2 linked regions of the Callithrix jacchus genome follow. The protein of the gene in region 2 purifies or fractionates together with the protein of the main gene of each other region. This does not show direct contact. Links are inferred from orthologs where the notes say so. Each region holds a gene or a part of one and is shown on either strand. Other genes may lie near its edges.

Region 1 (3,826 bases), on a different chromosome or scaffold from region 2:
ATAATACAAGTTTCAAGGGCTGCCTGGATGTCTACAGAGGCCATAAAGTTTTGTTCGAGAACCAAGAATGACTGGTTTGGAAAGGATTCTTTAATTACTAAAGGAAAGCCTACTATCTCATTTTTCTGACATTCTGACAGGAGCTACTACACCTTTCTACAGATTCTTTGTTCCAAATGATATTTTAACAAAGCTTCGGCCTAAAAACACTCAGGTAATACTAATGAAGTGGCTTGCTGGGAAAACAACACAAAACAGTACGTTAGAGGAGGAGAAACAGATGAGTAGGACAGGGTCGGAGGGTCATTAAATGGATAATAACAAACCAGCATTTTTCATTTTTTTTCTAGGAGATCCCTGTAAGTATTTTAGTCAATCAAGAGTGTTGCTGAGAAAAAAAAAGGATGCTGTAGATGCCGGACACTTGTTTTTGGAGGAAACAGGACAAAGGGGTAACAAGGCTTTATGTGAAAGTATACTGCAAATGTCTAATACATAACTGTGTCCATTGTTTGTAAGGCACTATACATAGCAAGTAACAAATAAAACACAGATTTATTTTGAGTTTACAGACAAGTATATAATAAGAGTAAAACATTAGAAAAATAAAAATCATTTTGTCAAAATAGATTTGGCATGAAAAAAATATATCCTATTAAACAGTATGAAATAAGAATGTACATATAAACTAAAAAATTTCTAGCCACACAGTCTATAATTTGAAATACCTCTATGAACTCCAAGATCTGTTCAGCAGAGTGATGTCCTTCATACTCATGAATGTTGGACTGGTTGAATACCACTGTTGTTGGATAAGCCTGAATGTTATACTGATAAAAAGGAGAATGTAAATTAAAGATTTTATAGATTTCACCTATTTGTTACAAATTTATAACAAGTTTGTCTTTAACAAGATTTTAAAAACCCATTGCTAAATTGCTGGTGACAATAATTTTAGTCTCATGGCAATGAATACTGATAAATACCTGATCCTTATTTACAGCCGCTCCATTAGCCATGAAAACCACAGGGCATCAAAACATTGAGAAACCAGCATGGGTAATTACATGAATGGTCCCATTTTTACTCTCCTGAACCAAGATAAGAAGAGTCTATAACAAGGCTTTATCTCTAGCTTGAGTCTTTTTTTAAACCACAATAAATACTATTTCTAGAAGTGGATGATCAGGAAACAGCAAGAATAAAGACACAAATAATTAGGGGATACATGATTATGCTTTAGGTTAAAGAATTATGAATCATGCTCTAGGAAGGTAATCACTTTTTATTCTTTCTTCAAGACAGCCTTTATAGTAGAAATACTTAATTTCCTTCCGATAATTAAAATGGGCACCAGCCCAGGAAGCATCTCTCTAAAGCTTTTTTATGTTTTTAGTTACACAGAGATCTATGGATTTACTGTAGCTGAACTTTGCACTCTTGAAGTTGTAAGTACTCATTAGCAAATTAGAAGCTTAGACAAGGATTTAAAAATAATTTTCAAAAAAACAAAAGAAACATAACAAAGCAATTATAGCTAAAATTTAGTAAGTGCTTAGTATGTGTTGGGCACTATTTTGGCATTTAACATGTAGTTTCTCATTTAATCTTCAAAACAATTCTACTTTGTTGCTAAAATTATAAAACCCACCATATAGATTAGGAAATGAATTACTGAGAGGCTAAGTAACTTCAACCAATTGGTGAGTGGCAACTAAATAGTGAGTAGTGAATTCTGGCCTCTCTTTCCAGGTAAATCTGGTATCATAGTTTTAAACCCTTACACTGAACTCACATGTTTAATGAGCTAAGATTAAAAGTAGAAAAACTAAAGGATTTCCAATTAAGATAATTATTATCACATCAATTTTGTATCTTTGGTTGGCATTTCTTTCAAAGTTACATAGAAGACATTCAAAACCAAAAGCCTTATTTATTTCCTTTTATAAAAATTTATTTAAATGAAATTTCTACAGGCACGTGCCACTGCTGCTGGCTTAAACTTCTATGATGTTCTAAAAACATACGGCTTTCTTTTGTTTTCCTTCCTCTTCCCATTTCTTTTTTCCTTTTATCTTTTCTCCCTCCATGTTTTTTTAAAAAAACATTTTGGTTTTTATCAGTTATTTAAAACATTCACGAAAGTAGAGAGCAACAAACTCACATATTCATATAACTACAATAATCACGGACTCATGACTACTTGTATTTCACTTACACTTCCTTTCTAGTCTACTCCCAAGATTATTTTAAAGCAAAATTCAGATGATCTATCATTTCATCCACAAATATTTCAGTATATTTAAAATGTAAGGACTCTCCTCCATATAACCACAATATCATTTTCGTTGTCAAAAATTAACAATAGTTACCTGAAATCATCAGATATCTTGCAGTGTTCACATTTCCCCAGTTATCTCTTTCTTTGCACTTGATTTGTTTAAATTGCATCCAAAGTCTAAACGCTGTATCTGACTGAGAGTCTTCTAAGTCTCTTTACTCTCTCCTCCACTACAGACAATGTATTTAGCCAATAAACTGGGTGTTTGTCCTGTAAAGTTCTCCACATACTAGGATGTGCACATTTCATACCCATGGTGTCACTTAATATGCTCCTCTGTCATTCAATTTCTTATAGAGTAATAGATCTGGAGATAGATCTACCATAGGCTTTTTTTTTTGGCCAAGAATATTTCGTAGGTGATATTATGTACTTTCATTCCACAGTATATAATTTCTAGTTCTTTTTGCAACTGAGAAGTGAATATTTACCTGAGAAAATATTTTCATTTACACAAAGATTTCACAAGGCTTGTTAACTGTTTTAATTTCCTTCTAGCAAATATACTTAGAAGTATAAGAAAAGCCAAAGGAAAAAAATTATAAAATGTCAAAAATATTAAAGAAATATAAAGCTTTTAAATAATTAGAAAATAATATAAGCATTTCATTAAGTTAATGAAAACAGTTGCTTGAGTTTATAAGATCTTATTTACATTCAATCCACTGATTAGCTATTTATGGTTTAATCCAATCATATCTGATATTTTCTAAAAAAATTATTTGTTTAAATAATTTGTTACTACTCTAAACAGAAGATGTATTATTTCTTATTTTATTGCTTTAACATTAAACAGCCAAAAGGTCTCCATTTAAAAAAATTAATTAGAATTTTTGATACTTTGCCTTACCATATTACAGAGTCCCTCATGAACTGTACAATCTAGTGTACCAAACTTAAGCTGACCATAAAGAAGATTTGATGCTCTTCGTAACTCTGGTAGTAAAGCTCGACATGGTGGACACCACTAGGAAAGAAAAAGTATTCATAAGCACTGAGCCAAATGACACACACACACACACACACACAGACACACACACACACACACACAAACACACACACACAAAAACATCCCAACATTTCCGCAACAAGTAATATGCTATGTAACACAAACTGTATTTAGTGGTAAACTTTCCTTGGATTTTAGAAGCAATATGCAATGGTGGCCATAATGGAATGACACAGTTCTAGTAATAATAATTCAAAGTTATTTAGAAAATGTCTTTTTGCCATAATAAGAGAAAATCTGAAAATGCTAGAATTTGACAGATAAAAATAACTTACAGGGGCAAAGAAATCAACAAGCCATGGTTCTTTGTCACTGGCAGGAAAATTTTGAGGTCCAAGTGTGGTAACGTGAGAATTCACACTTTCTTTGGCAAAGGCAAGTATATCATACAGAATCTTCTTTCCTTTCAAAGGGAATAAGAGAAATTAAAATCCAAATTCTGCTTTTTTGTAGGCACAGAAACAGTTCAAAGTTTT
Region 2 (3,614 bases):
GCACTGCTCATCTCTCCAAACAAAAATGATGCTGCTGGAGGTATATGTATCTTGAGTAAACGAATTCACCTGTTAGATAGTAGCATCTTAAATCTTTTAAGATACACTCTCTTCGGTCAGCATTTTGCTCAAAACAATTACTCAAAGTTAGATGAGAACTGAGGTCCTTGGGAGGAGGAAATCACGAGAATCTAAGTAGTATTTTGTGTGCCTGCTCAACCAGCTGGTGGCATTTTAGACATTAAAGAGAAATAAAGATGGGATAGAATTCTACGGTAACCATAATAATCGATCCCTAGCCAATCAATAAATAAGAATATAACCAGAGCTGTGCTGATTAAAAAATAGAGGTTCATTTGAAAATGGAAATTGGCAGGGCACACTGGCTCCCGCCTGTAATCCAAACACTTGGGGAGGCTGAGCTGGGTGGACTGCTTGAGCCCAAGAGTTCGAGACCAGCCAGACCAGTATGGTGAACCCCCATCTCTACTAAAAATGCAAAAATTAGCCAGTGTGGTAACGCACCTGTAGTCCCAGCTACTCAGGAGGCTGAGGCAGGAGAATCGCGTAAATCCAGAAGACGGAGGCTACAGCGAGCCGAGATCGCACCACTGCACTCCAGACTGGGTGACAGAGTGAGACTCTGTCTCTAAATAAATAAATAGGAAATTGCTGGTAGAAAGGGGTACAATGTTCTACTCTTCTCATGGTCAAAGAGTGAAAATTAAGTTTTCTTAGAAATGAAAATAAAAGACTCAACAAAGCAGCACTAATATAGAGATTTTATTTAAACTGTATTGAATTTTTACAGCACATTGCATGTTTGTCACAACGCAACTGCACGGTTTGGATTTTTGGCCACATCATATCACTTACACCCACAACAGCTCTGAAAGGAGTATTTGATGAACACATCTGAGCCAAGAGCCCAGAGTCTCTCCAAGGCCATGCAGTTTGTTCACTGATGAGACAGTCCCTCAAAACAGCCGCACTAAGTAGACAGATATAGTCTCCCCAAATGTTACCAATCTTACTCCCCTTGAAAACAAGCAGAGTGAAGTGCAATGAAAGTCAGGTTAATTAAAAAGCCACTCACAACTGGCAGTAAATTTTAATGACTAAGAAAATGCTTAAAATAATTTTATGTATCAGAAACAAGGAATAGCTTGTTATTTTTTCAATGATCTCAGGAATTTTGCAGACACAAAATCTCCATTATACAGCTCCATTTAAATGAACAAAAAAAAAAAAAAGTTCTGCTAGGCTGACCCAAATACCCCAAAACTTTTTAGGTTACATCTATGTCAAGTACAAAAGAACCACAGATGCTTCTCTGTAGGACTGAAAAGGTCAGGACAAATAATGATTCTTGTTCTAAATGCAGATCCTAGTTATTTTGGAATGAAATGCTGTTTTCTAGAAAGCAACATGAAAGTAGCAGTGAGAAAGATGACTATCATCATTTCAAAACAGGATAAGCCTAAATGTAATTTACCATTTATATGTCAACAAATTAAGGAAAATGTATAAAGTTCTAGTGATTTCATTATAGGCCACGGAGACTGTATCTGTCCTGCCCACAGTACATGGCTATATCACTGTATCTTTTGGTTAAGTGCCACTGGTACATATTAAGATGAAAAAAACAAAATAATTTTTTTTAAAAAACCAACAACGTTTGGTCCAAATGGACACATGTTCTCTCCCAATTTTGGTATCAAGGCTTTATTCTCTTCTGTTTGGGTTCCATTGTTAAGTGCACATTAATAGACAGCAGCATTTGTACTGAAACCCTCACATACCAAACAGCATATGCTAGGAGGTAAAAACCAAACGCTAAATTCTACCCTTGAGGTGTCAAGTGTTCAGGATAAGAAGCAGTGTGACCCAGAGGAGGCAGCAGCCAAGGGAAAGACAACATCAGGGAGTGGGCAATGAAACAACAACAAAAACCTTTATTTTCATGCCAGGAGAGGATCAAGGTGTAGCTCCTGTGTTAGCACCAGGACAACTAGGAAAAGTCAGGTGCAAAGGGTAGGGAACAGTCAGCAGATATTTCACAAGGATAATTTTTGCTTTTCCCTTCTCATTCTTCACAGTGCATAACGCAAGAGCTGCCACTGTGTAACAGAGACGGCTGCCTTCATAGCTCAAAATAATTCAATGTTTGCCAGGACCAAATATCAGCAGTTTTCCTCTGCTCCCAAAAATGTCTCACTCCCTAGAACTGTCCCCCTAAACTGAATATTTACCGATGCTGGCTGATGAGCCAACTGAAAAATACATTGAAACCTCCACTTGCTGAACCAGTCTTCAAACTCCACAGAAAGACAGTACTAATGCAACTAGAGGGAGTGCCTCTAAAGACTGAGCCTTCATACACAGACACAGAGCACAGAGGTACAGGATATAGTTCATCTCAAATAGGACAGGAATTCCAATCTTATATACTATAATCTGCTTTTGTCAAGGTGGAGGAGAGATGGGTCTGGTTATCACTTGGAGTTTGGTTATACATATGCCTTTCTATTGCTGTTTGGGGCACTTTGCACCAGGCAACATCTATGCAATCATTATCTTGTGACCTCCAGGAGAAAGCAGCTGGAGTCACCAACTCAACATGAAGCTTCCAGACCCTGGGTCTGGATTAGGACCATTACCCCAAGGTGAGGGGTCTCACCAGAAGAGGACCTCCTGCCAAATTGGAATTCCTCTGCTCCAGTTTCATGATACCAAGGAGGATTTCTCAAGATGGTATCTTTGAGCTCTGTGTTTTCATGAGCCACACCAAGGAACCTTCCAAACTACAACTGAAGCAGATCCTCCCTTCAACCTGCTAAAATTGGACAGGTTATCTCCCTGGCATTCAGCTGGAAGCTGTCGCGATGGGTTTCTTCAGATGTTGGCTCATGAGTTCCCTGGCACGAGAGACTTGAATGTGTTCGAAACATGAGTTACAGACGAGAACTGGGTCATAGAGTTGCTGATCAGGAATGGGCAGCTTCTGGTGGCAGCATGCAGCACAAAATACATTCCCACAATTTCTGCCAAAGCACAAAGAGGGAAGAGTTCATCAGAAATGCCGATATACTGGCCAGGCACAGTGACTCACACCGGTAATTCCTGCACTTTGGTAGGCTAAGGCAGTAGAATTGCTTGAGGCCAGGAGTTTGAGACTAGCCTGAGCAACATAGCGAAACCCCATCTCTAATAAAAAATTAATTAATTAATATTAAGAAATGCCAATATACTGAGAATGATAGTAAGTGAAAAGTTGGGGACAGTTTCTTTTTCTTTTTCTTTTTTTTTTTTAGACAGAGTCTCGCTTTGTCGCTAAGTGCCAGGCTAGAGTGCAGTGGTGTGATCTCAGCTCACTGCAACCTCCACCTCCCAGGTTCAAGCAATTCTCCTGCCTTAGCCTCCTAAGTAGCTGGGGCTACAGGCACGCACCACCACGCCCAGCTAATTTTTGTGTTTTAGTAGAGACAGGGTTTCACCATGTTGGCCAGGATGGTCTCAATCTCTTGACCTTGTGATCCACCCGCCTTGGCCTCCCAAAGTGCTGGGATTAGAGGCGTGAGCCACCGCACCTGGCCACAAACATAGTTTCTATA

The links.
Region 1: the proteins of MTMR4 (region 2) and DNAJC10 purify together in Homo sapiens (affinity purification with mass spectrometry; 3 studies listed by BioGRID and IntAct, counting the BioPlex papers as one, with this or other methods). This does not show direct contact. The link is inferred for Callithrix jacchus from reciprocal best matches to the Homo sapiens genes MTMR4 and DNAJC10.

Annotation. Positions count from the first base shown.
Region 1 is NC_133507.1:46,275,192-46,279,017, forward strand, and holds part of DNAJC10 (dnaJ homolog subfamily C member 10), read right to left. Parts: intron 3,754-3,826; coding exon 3,626-3,753; intron 3,309-3,625; coding exon 3,192-3,308; intron 831-3,191; coding exon 729-830; intron 1-728. UniProt on the Homo sapiens protein: Endoplasmic reticulum disulfide reductase involved both in the correct folding of proteins and degradation of misfolded proteins.
Region 2 is NC_133506.1:72,646,721-72,650,334, reverse strand, and holds the end of MTMR4 (phosphatidylinositol-3,5-bisphosphate 3-phosphatase MTMR4), read right to left. Parts: intron 3,045-3,614; coding exon 2,867-3,044; 3' UTR 769-2,866; downstream 1-768. UniProt on the Homo sapiens protein: Lipid phosphatase that specifically dephosphorylates the D-3 position of phosphatidylinositol 3-phosphate and phosphatidylinositol 3,5-bisphosphate, generating phosphatidylinositol and phosphatidylinositol 5-phosphate.